Macaca fascicularis: one gene and its partners. The protein of the gene in region 1 purifies or fractionates together with the protein of each later gene. This does not show direct contact. Links are inferred from orthologs where the notes say so. Each region holds a gene or a part of one and is shown in the gene's direction. Other genes may lie near its edges. The genes, in order: BCL7A, ARID1A and SMARCD3.

What was found.
Region 2: the proteins of BCL7A (region 1) and ARID1A purify together in Homo sapiens (affinity purification with mass spectrometry; 5 studies listed by BioGRID and IntAct, counting the BioPlex papers as one, with this or other methods). This does not show direct contact. The link is inferred for Macaca fascicularis from reciprocal best matches to the Homo sapiens genes BCL7A and ARID1A.
Region 3: the proteins of BCL7A (region 1) and SMARCD3 purify together in Homo sapiens (affinity purification with mass spectrometry; 4 studies listed by BioGRID and IntAct, counting the BioPlex papers as one, with this or other methods). This does not show direct contact. The link is inferred for Macaca fascicularis from reciprocal best matches to the Homo sapiens genes BCL7A and SMARCD3.

Annotation. Positions count from the first base shown.
Region 1 is NC_088385.1:129,140,628-129,144,275, forward strand, and holds part of BCL7A (B-cell CLL/lymphoma 7 protein family member A), read left to right. Parts: intron 1-2,346; coding exon 2,347-2,514; intron 2,515-3,648.
Region 2 is NC_088375.1:208,334,842-208,338,489, reverse strand, and holds part of ARID1A (AT-rich interactive domain-containing protein 1A), read left to right. Parts: intron 1-496; coding exon 497-629; intron 630-811; coding exon 812-987; intron 988-1,349; coding exon 1,350-1,500; intron 1,501-1,582; coding exon 1,583-1,717; intron 1,718-1,801; coding exon 1,802-1,898; intron 1,899-2,324; coding exon 2,325-3,216; intron 3,217-3,401; exon of another isoform or gene 3,402-3,577; coding exon 3,578-3,648. UniProt on the Homo sapiens protein: Involved in transcriptional activation and repression of select genes by chromatin remodeling (alteration of DNA-nucleosome topology).
Region 3 is NC_088377.1:192,524,437-192,528,084, reverse strand, and holds part of SMARCD3 (SWI/SNF-related matrix-associated actin-dependent regulator of chromatin subfamily D member 3), read left to right. Parts: exon of another isoform or gene 1-114; intron 115-420; coding exon 421-632; intron 633-2,391; coding exon 2,392-2,434; intron 2,435-3,253; coding exon 3,254-3,376; intron 3,377-3,493; coding exon 3,494-3,616; coding exon of another isoform or gene 3,617-3,632; intron 3,633-3,648. UniProt on the Homo sapiens protein: Involved in transcriptional activation and repression of select genes by chromatin remodeling (alteration of DNA-nucleosome topology).

The DNA of each region.
Region 1 (3,648 bases):
AAGACAGCCTGGGCAACATAGTGAGGCCCCATCTCTACAAAAAATTTAAAAATTAGCCAGATGCAGTGGCACATGCCTGTGGCCCCAGCTACCCAGGAGGCAGAGGCAGGAGGATAGCTTGAGCCTAGAAGTTCAAGGCTGCAGTGAGCTATGATTCTGCTGCTGTACTCCAGCCTGGGTGACAGAGCAAGACCCTGTCTCTAAAAATAAAAAATACATAGATGGCTGGGCGTGGTGGCTCACTCCTGTAACCCCAGCATTTTGGGAGGTTGAGGTGAGCAGATCACCTAAGGTCAGTAGTTCAAGAGCAGCCTGGCCAACACGGCGAAACCCCGTCTCTACTAAAAAATAATAACAATAACAAAAATTAACTGGGCATGGTGGTGCATGCCTGTAATCCCAGCTACCTGGGAGGCTGAGGCATGAGAATCGCTTGAACCAGGAGGTGGAGATTATAGTGAGCCGAGATCGCGCCACTGCACTCCAGCCTGGGTGACAGACTCCATCTCAGAAAACGAAATAGAGTGACTATGTGCTTGAGAAGGGGGTGCAGGACAAGGGGAGGTGCAGCCTGGGCCCCAGCTCTGCCCGCAGCCCCACTGTGGATGCCATTGCCAATTACCCCTTCTCTTTCTTCTTTGTATTGTAAAGAGTTTTGTTGTCAAGAACAATAGGGAGGGGGATACAATCCCCCTATACACTCCACTTTGATTTTCATGAACATGATGCCATATTTGTCTCATCTATTTTTTCGATGTGTTAAATTTTTGTAATTAAAATATAATTCACATATAAAAAATACACAGCTAGTGGCCAGGTGCGGTGGCTCACACCTGTAATCCCAGCACTTTGGGAGGCTGAGGTGGGCAGATCGCCTGAGGCCAATAGTTTGAGACCAGCCTGGCCAACATGGTGAAACCTGTCTCTACTAAAAATACAAAACTCAACCAGGTATGGTGACAGGCGCCTGTAATCTACTTGGGAGGCTGAGGCAGGAGAATTGTTTGAACCCGGGAGGCGGAGGTTGTAGTGAGCCCAGACTGCACCATTGCACTCCAATCTGGGCAACAGAGTGAGACTCTGTCTCAAAAAAAAAAAAAAAGTGTAAAAGTTCAGAGCATCCTAACACTGGCCTGCAGCCTGCACTGAAGCATTTTCTGGTAAATTTCCCTGCCTCATGACATTCAAGTCTGCACCTAAACGTCACAGCATGCATTGCTAAAAACAGGATGTTTCTACATACCCACTGTCCCATGATCATTTCTAACTAAATTAACCAACAGTTCCTTAATAGCTTTTAAAACCCAGACCATATTCAAATTCCCCAATTGTTCCAAAGTGTTACAGCTGGCACCTTCGAAACAGGATGCAAATAATTTCCATACATCATATTTAGTCGAGTCTCCTAGCTTTCTTTATTCTAAAATCATCTCCCCTCCCCCACTTTTTTTGAATTTTTTTTTAATATGATACTGACTTTAAGGGAGTGGACCATGTGTCCCGTGGAATGTGCCACCTCCCGCTGTCTCTCTCTCCTTTTTATTTCCTATCAAGTGGAACTCGGCTCCGGGCTGCATCAGTCAGACAGAACGTCTTGGCAGCCCCGCCTCACGGACCATGCCATGTCTTCCGTATCGCTTCTCTGCCAGACACACAATGCATCTGGTTTCCACCCCCAGAATGAGGCCTCAAATGTCCCCCCAAGATTTTAAATATGTGAGGCCACTGTCCCCAGCTGGCTGCCTGCAGACACAGGGTACAGTTGGCTCAGTGTGGGGAAGGTCAGGCCAGCGCCGGAATTCTTTGCCTCTCTGGACACATGGGACGGCTGTGGTGCTTGGGTGGATGGGGGTGGGGGCGGGAGTGAGCTCAGGGGTCCCAGGAGGAGGAGTATCCAGTATCCAGACCCCTACCGCATGGCCGGGTGCAGTGGCTCATGCCTGTAATCCCACCACTTTGGGAGGCCAAGGTGAGCAGATCACCGGAGGTCTAGAGTTCAAGACGGGCCTGGCCAACGTGGTGAAACCCTGTCTCTACTAAAAATACAAAAGTAACCAGGAGTGGTGCCTGTAATCCCAGCTACTCGGGAGGCCGAGGCAGGAGAATCACTTGAACCCGGGAGGAGGAGGTAGTGAGCTGAGATTGCACCACAGTCCTCCAGCCTGGTTGACACAGTGAGATCCATCTCAAAAAAAAAAAAAAAAAACCGATAACCAGGCCCCTCCCCGGTGGGAGAGCTGCTGTGGGGTTCCGGGCATTGAGGCACAGGGATGCCGAGTCCTCCGACCTGCCCGTCCTTGGCAGCTGTGGGATTTCATCCTGTGGTTCTGTTCCCACACCCCACAGACGACAACAGCAACCAGAGCTCCATCGCAGATGCCTCCCCCATCAAACAGGAGAACAGCAACAACTCCAGCCCCGCTCCAGAGCCCAACTCGGCTGTGCCCAGCGACGGCACCGAGGCCAAGGCAGACGAGGCCCAGGCTGATGGGAAGGAGCACCCAGGAGCTGAAGGTACGTGGCCTCTGGAGGTGGCTCTGACGGCCTCCCTGTAACCGGCCTTCAGGCAGTCTGTGGCTAGGTGTTCCAGGAGGCCCTGTCATGTGCCAGCCACAGCACGGAGACAGTAAAGAGAGGTGACACCTGGAGTACATGGTCTCATGGGGGAATTAAAAAAATCAGACAGGCCAGGTGCAGTGGCTCATGCCTGTAATCCCTGCACTTTAGGAGGCCAAGGTGTGAGGACTGCTTGAGCCCAGAAGTTCAAGACCAGCCTGGGCAACATAGCAAGACCTCATCTCTACCAAAAAAAAAAAAAAATTAGCCAAGTGTGGTGGCACACAGCTGTGATCCCAGCTACTCAGGAGGCTGAAGTCAGAGGATCACTTGAGCACAGGAGGTCAAGGCTACAGTGAGCCGTGATCATGCCTCTGCACTCCAGCCTGTGTGACAATAAGACCCTGTCTCAAAAATAAGTAAATAAATAAAAATCAAACAATCGGCCAGGCATGGTGGCTCACACCTGTAAATCCTAATGCTTTGGAAGGCTGAAGCGGGAGGATCACTTGAGGCCAAGAGTTTGAGACCAGTCTGGGCAGCATAGCAAGATCCTGTCTCTACAAAAAAATGTTTTAAAATGAGCCGGGCATGGTGGCATGTGCCTATCTGTGGTCCCAGCTACTCAGGAGGCTGAGGTGGGAGTATCCCTTGAGCCCAGGAGTTGGAGGTTGCAGTGAGCCGTGATCACACAACTGAACTCCAGCCTGGGTGACAGAGTGAGACCCTGGCTCAAAATATAATTATATTAATAAAAATGTTTAAATATGTTTAAAAATCAGACAACCTAGTATTAGGGAGATAAGTGTGGTGGAGAATTATAAAGTCGGAAAGGGATGGGGGTGGGGGGTCTTGCTGAATGACCAGGGGAGTTGCAATTTTAAATGGGGTGGTCAGGGGCAGCCTTTGAACAAGACGAGGCTCAGACTGGGCAAGTGAGCAAGCCGTATGGGGATCTGGGAGGAGAGCAGTGTGGGCAGAGGGAAGAGTGAGTGAGGAGCTGGAAAATAAGACGGGGACTGGGTGCAGTGGCTCACACCTGTAATCCCAGCACTCTGGGAGGCCAAGGCAGGCAGATCACTTGAGGTCAGG
Region 2 (3,648 bases), on another chromosome or scaffold:
AGTTTTGTACTCATCAGCTTAGAAGAACATTTGAACTTGAGAGATGACACCAAGCTGGATGCTTCAGAACAGGAGCTCCTAGACTCCTAAAATACATCCCAGATTTGGAAGCCCCTCCCTACCCAGGATTTGGGAGGTTCTGACTGGAGCTCATGCACCAGCATTACAGGGTTTAATAGGTTAGACAAGGTCCTTTGGAGGAGTGAAAAGAAATAGCCAGGGAAGCTGGCAGTGACTCAAGGAATCACCAGCATGGTGATGTCATGGCCACATCACTCCTCTTTTCTACATGTAAAACAAAAACAAAGAGCTACAAAACCCTCAAATTCCCGTCTTCATGACCTGGCCTTGTAGATCCTCTGCTAAGAAGGGTGATCAGGCTTTAAAGGCCTTAGGAAGAACTTTCCCAAAGAGATTCTGGGTCATTCGTGTGTTTGTGTGAGAGTTAAACACTTTCATGCCAAGCAAACTGCTCAAATTGTATCTCTGTCCACAGCGGGATCAGGATCTATGCAGGGGCCCCAGACTCCTCAGTCAACCAGCAGTTCCATGGCAGAAGGAGGAGACTTAAAGCCACCAACTCCAGCATCCACACCACACAGTCAGATCCCCCCATTGCCAGGCATGAGGTATGGCCAAGAGCAGGGGCAGATGGTTGGGAGGTATGGCTGGAGATAAGTGCATGGGAACTCCTTTGCAGCCAAAGGGTGGTCTTTGCCTCTGCCTTCCCAGCCAGTGACTACTGCGTGTCCTGTGTTACATTGGAGAAATGGGTCTATTTGTGGTCTAATTGGTTTTCCTCACTCTGGAGCAGGAGCAATTCGGTTGGGATCCAGGATGCCTTTAATGATGGAAGTGACTCCACATTCCAGAAGCGGAATTCCATGACTCCAAACCCTGGGTATCAGCCCAGTATGAATACCTCTGACATGATGGGGCGCATGTCCTATGAGCCAAATAAGGATCCTTATGGCAGCATGAGGAAAGGTGACTGATCTGATTGCTATTTGAGCTTGTGCTCGTAAAGATGGGACCAGTGAAATGGTGGGAAATCTTGAGAGTGGCTCAGGGTTCTTGTGGAGCCATCTTCTGAGATAATGCATTTCCTGCCCTAACTACCCCTCTTCATCCCTACCTCCTTTCTTGTCTCCTCCTTGACCTCACCTTGTCATCCCTTAACAAGTACATGCCTTTTGCTGGTTGGGGCCTCTTTAGATCTCTGTTTTGAACTTGTCTGGAAAACAATGAGATCAAACTTGAAGAGGGCCTGGGTCTTTGGAGCAGACAAATATATATTACCAGCTTTGCCAACTTACCAGTTTGTTCACTGCTTGCCTTTCTACACTCAGCTCCAGGGAGTGATCCCTTCATGTCCTCAGGGCAGGGCCCCAACGGCGGGATGGGTGACCCCTACAGTCGTGCTGCTGGCCCTGGGCTAGGAAATGTGGCGATGGGACCACGACAGCACTATCCCTATGGAGGTCCTTATGACAGAGTGAGGTAAGCATGACCCCAGCTCCTGTCCACCCGCCAGCACCCTGAGGCTATAGTGGGCTCAATCTGTCTCTTCAATTTTGTTTAGGACGGAGCCTGGAATAGGGCCTGAGGGAAACATGAGCACTGGGGCCCCACAGCCTAATCTCATGCCTTCCAACCCAGACTCGGGGATGTATTCTCCTAGCCGCTACCCTCCGCAGCAGCAGCAGCAGCAGCAACGGTGAGTAAAGCCTGGTCTTGGTGCTGCTGTTTCTCAGGCTTTGCCACTGCCCACCCTGATCCTGTGTTTCTTTGCCTCCTGTAGACATGATTCCTATGGCAATCAGTTCTCCACCCAAGGTACCCCTTCTGGCAGCCCCTTCCCCAGCCAGCAGACCACAATGTATCAACAGCAGCAGCAGGTGAGGAGGGTAGCTGGGAATGGACCGGCATGCAGGTTCGTCTTCAAAGCTAGTTAGTAAACTAACGTGTTGAAGTCTAAGAAGCTCACTTTAGATATTTTGGCATTCTTCTCTCACCTGACTGGCCAGTCCTGCTTGAAGAGCCAAGTCCTCAATCTCTTCTCTATTTGGAGTTGGAAGGGGCTAGAAATAGACCTTATTTTGATCGTTAGGTTTTGTATATTTTTCTACTTAGAGCAAGGGAGGGGAAGAAAGAGTGGTGGTTGCTTTTGGAAACAACTTCAAAAAATAATTTGTTAAGGTGATTCCCATGTTTCCTTGGAGTCTATGGCCACCAGGCATCTAGTTGTAGCCATCTCGGCATCTGTGGGCTTTATGTCCCTGAGTGCAGAGTATTAACTTCCCCTCTGCTTGTCTCTGCCTTAGAATTACAAGCGGCCAATGGATGGCACATATGGCCCTCCTGCCAAGCGGCATGAAGGGGAGATGTACAGCGTGCCATACAGCACTGGGCAGGGGCAACCTCAGCAGCAGCAGTTGCCCCCAGCCCAGCCCCAGCCTGCCAGCCAGCAACAAGCTGCCCAGCCTTCCCCTCAGCAAGATGTATACAACCAATATGGCAATGCCTATCCTGCCACTGCCACCGCTGCTACTGAGCGCCGACCAGCAGGCGGCCCCCAGAACCAATTTCCATTCCAGTTTGGCCGAGACCGTGTCTCTGCACCCCCTGGCACCAATGCCCAGCAAAACATGCCACCGCAAATGATGGGCGGCCCCATACAGGCATCAGCTGAGGTTGCTCAGCAAGGCACCATGTGGCAGGGGCGTAATGACATGACCTATAATTATGCCAACAGGCAGAGCACGGGCTCTGCTCCCCAGGGCCCCGCCTATCATGGCGTGAACCGAACAGATGAAATGCTGCACACAGATCAGAGGGCCAACCATGAAGGCCCGTGGCCTTCCCATGGCACACGCCAGCCCCCATATGGTCCCTCTGCCCCTGTGCCCCCCATGACAAGGCCCCCTCCATCTAACTACCAGCCCCCGCCAAGCATGCAGAATCACATTCCTCAGGTATCCAGCCCTGCTCCCCTGCCCCGGCCAATGGAGAACCGCACCTCTCCTAGCAAGTCTCCATTCCTGCACTCTGGGATGAAAATGCAGAAGGCAGGTCCCCCAGTACCTGCCTCACACATAGCACCTGCCCCTGTGCAGCCCCCCATGATTCGGCGGGATATCACCTTCCCACCTGGCTCTGTTGAAGCCACACAGCCTGTGTTGAAGCAGAGGAGGCGGCTCACAATGAAAGACATTGGTAAGGAGATCTCCCTCATTCGGTTGCCTAATCTGCCCCTTTCCGTCTTGTCCATTGTTCCCTCCACCTTAATATTCTGGATGAGGTTGAATCTGGTCCAGTATTGACTAAAATAGAACCAAAGAACTTTGGAAAAGGAAGAAATAAGCTAACTAAAAGTTTTCCTTCAAAACATTGCCATGCAGTGATGTCCTAGACAGACAGCTTAGAAGCCATGAGGGGCTGGTGTGTGTCATCTCCCAGACAGGAACTGCCTTCTACATTGTGTTATCTTCAGAGTAGCCTCACTGATGGGGCAACCCTGGGGGTGCCTCCAGCCAACCCGGGCTTGGTGGATGGACGACATGGAGGTTTATTTCAGGAACCCCGGAGGCATGGCGGGTAATGATGTCCCTCAAGTCTGGTCTCCTGGCAGAGAGCACATGGGCATTA
Region 3 (3,648 bases), on another chromosome or scaffold:
TGGCGAGGTCGTTTTTCTCCTTGAGCCACAGTGGCCCCATCCGTCAAGTGGGGATGAAAGGACCTGCTCAGACTGTCTTGTAGAGGAGCATGTGGATGTGAACATCTTTGAAAGGTTGAAAGAAGCCATTAATATTCATTTTTGCGGTACCTTCCGTAGCCCCGAGGCTCGCAATGCCCTGTGCGGTGCCTGGCTTCAGTTAGCTTCCTACAGCCAGACGCCAAGCCCCTCCGCCAGAGCCGCGCGTATTCCGGCGCCCCTGCCCCTCCTACCCATCGTTCCCACCCATCGCTCAGCGCTCAGGGTCACCAGCCGAGGGTCTGGTGGGGGAGGGGAGACGCCGGCTCACCGCGCCTGGAGCTGGGGGCCCTGGTCTGACCCACGGGCGCCCGTTTCTGCTTCACCCCCGCCCACCCACAGCGCCCCGGGATGCCGTCTGGAGCCCGGATGCCCCACCAGGGGGCGCCCATGGGCCCCCCGGGCTCCCCCTACATGGGCAGCCCCGCCGTGCGACCCGGCCTGGCCCCCGCGGGCATGGAGCCCGCCCGTAAGCGAGCAGCGCCCCCGCCCGGGCAGAGCCAGGCACAGAGCCAGGGCCAGCCGGTGCCCACCGCCCCCGCGCGGAGCCGCAGGTGAGTGGGAGGCCCGGCGCGGAGTGGGCGTGCAGGGGCGGGCCCTGGGGACCCGCAGGGACCAGGTGAGAGAGTAGCGGGGATTGGAAGAGGTGAGGAAGAATGATTAGCAGGGAGCGAGGCTTCCCGGATCGGATGCCCTCTGGGGAGGTGGGCTTAGGGGGCACCGGCCTGATTCTTTTGTGTGCCCACGGTAGAGACAGGCTGTGGCCGTCGGCAGCCGGTACCGCTTCCCTGCACGCTCCCCTCACCCTTCTCCTTGTCACCTGCTCAGTCCCTCTCTCCACCCATCAGGTTCTGGGTGATGCTTAAGTCTTTGGGTTGGGGGCGGGGCTTCCAGTGGGACTGAGGGCAGAGCTGTAGGACTGTGTTGCCCAAAGTGTAGTTCTCCGCTGAGCCTTCCTGCCAGACCCCGGACTGTTTCAAAGCCACTCCAGATTTTCTCAATGGGACTCTCTGGCCCTGGGGGTGGAGCTTGGGGATTTGCCCTGTGGTAGGTGGTCTCTGCCCAGTTCCGCTCTTAATTCTTAGGCACTCTGGACCAGGTCTGCTCCCAAGCCACCAGGGCCAGCCCATTGCCTTATTTTCCTCCAGCAGCTGGTGGCACCCTCAAAGCCCCTGCTGGCTCCTGGCAACAGCAGTGCCCCTCTGGATTTCAGTATTTAGCCAAATACACATGCTTTTTTTGCACAACAGATGGATTTCTATAAAAGGTGTAATATCAATTTTACCTCATTATTAAGTATTTTTTACACATCAGGGAAAATTCACCACTTATAGGAATCCCATGATGAATTATTTTGTAAAGTGCATCGTCATTTTGTACAGCAAACGGTAATTCCCTGATTTATCTTGTATAAATGGAGAGTTACACAAAGATAATCTGTCTAAAACAAACCAGACCTTTAATGAAATCTGCTTGTTAGCCTTAGATTTCTGCATAGGGAGGGGGTAGTGGTTGAGAACACCACACGGGGGCAGTATGGAGCTATTCTCTAGGCTGCGTTTTCATCTCTTGACCCGCCAAGGTTTTTCTGGGGGTTTTTGGGTTAGTCAGCAGCAGCTAGTGGGTCAGAAAGAGCTCACATCCAGCTGCTACTACCCTGGGCCTAGTCAATTTGGCCTCAGCCTGAAGTCACACCCATGCACATTCTGGGCGCCTATGGCTGCAGCATGTCCCTCACCTTGTTGCCAGGTAGTCCCAGGGCATGAGTACCCCTGCTCATCAGCATTCTCTTGCAAGCCCAGGGTGCCTGGAAGGGATGCAAGTCCCGCCAGCTTCACACCATCACCTCCGCTCCATGGATAGGAAGGAAGTCGTCTATCTCCCTCCCTCTGAGCTTAGAATCCTTTGGACAGGGCACCCCCTGCTTTCCAGAAAAGGTCCTCAGACCTGGCTTCCCTCTCCTTTGTCCTCCCTCATCCCCACCTTTCCTCAAACACTTCTGCAGCTCCCATCTTTTGGCAGCACCACCCCCACTCGCCAGTCCCTCCTAAGTCTAAATTTCTCTGTCCCTAAGGATGTGGCAGGTTAGAAGGGGGCTCCCAGGCCAGAGAATGGACGGGTCACCCCTGTGTCCTTAGAGAGGACAGAGCACCAGTTCCACACACCACCGTCATAGCCCTTGGGCGGGCAGACAAGCGGGCTGTGGGAACCCCAGCCAGGCGGGCGGAGATGTCGGGATAATTTAGCAGGTGGCCTCGTTACTCCCAGATCTGTCGCCATGGTAACCTGGTTTTTTCTTTAAAAAATGTACAGTGCCAAGAGGAGGAAGATGGCTGACAAAATCCTCCCTCAAAGGGTGAGTGTCTTTCACAGCAGCCCCCAGCCCACCCCCTACCCTTTGCTGCTCTGCCCTCCCCTCCCCCCTCAAAAGCAGAGCTTCAGTGTCACAGTCACTTTCACTTTTTGTTTAAAAAAACTCATTAATAAGTGAGGCTCCCTAGGCCAGAGGGAGGGGGTGAGGTGGAGGGAAGCAGCAGAGCCACTGGGGCCAGAACACAGGGGCCTGTCAGGGGGCTGGATCCAAGTGGTACTAAGACAGAGTTGTGGGACAAGAAGGGGGCAAGAGCTAGGGGATCAAAAGCTGCCAGGCAGAATGAAGGGGATAGAAGGTGGCCAGAGATCCTGAGCATCCTAAAGGGACCCAGGTCCAGCTGGATATGGGGGACAGCACAGTTGGGACAGGTGTGGGGGCTGAGCAATGTGCCAGCAAAGAAGAAAGCACTGCTGTCCAACTGTCCCAGGGATTGAGCCCCTACTAGGCACTTTGCAGGGGCCCAGGGGAAGCCCAGTGGGCATATGACATAGAAAATGACAGGATGAGGAGACTAAAGGCTAGTGCTTTGCTGGGTTCCACAGTTGCTACCTCCTCCCCGTGATGATACACAAGGCTCTTCCTAAAGGGAGAAGCAATTGTTATCCCTACACAGCAAGGCCCCTACTGCTGGATAATGGCATCCTGGGGAGAGGTCCTGTTCCCACTGTCAAAGCTCCATGCCCAGAAGTAGGATGGCTCCCCCGACATCTTTTGCACCCTAGGATTGCACAACATGCATACATTCCATGGTACAACCCTGGACTCGAGCCTCTGACTCCTGCCCTGCTCCTCCTCCTCCAGATTCGGGAGCTGGTCCCCGAGTCCCAGGCTTACATGGACCTCTTGGCATTTGAGAGGAAACTGGATCAAACCATCATGCGGAAGCGGGTGGACATCCAGGAGGCTCTGAAGAGGCCCATGAAGGTGCCTTAGTTCGGGGGTAGGAAGGGGACTCTTGAGTCGCGTGACCAGGATGGGGAAGCAAGGTAGTCAGGGTGGAAGCACACAGCATTTGCCCGGTTCTACACTCTATTTCTACAGCAAAAGCGGAAGCTGCGTCTCTATATCTCCAACACTTTTAACCCTGCGAAGCCTGACGCTGAGGACTCCGATGGCAGCATTGCCTCCTGGGAGCTACGGGTGGAGGGGAAGCTCCTGGATGATGTACGTCCCGGCCCAGGTCTCTCCAGGTGTCC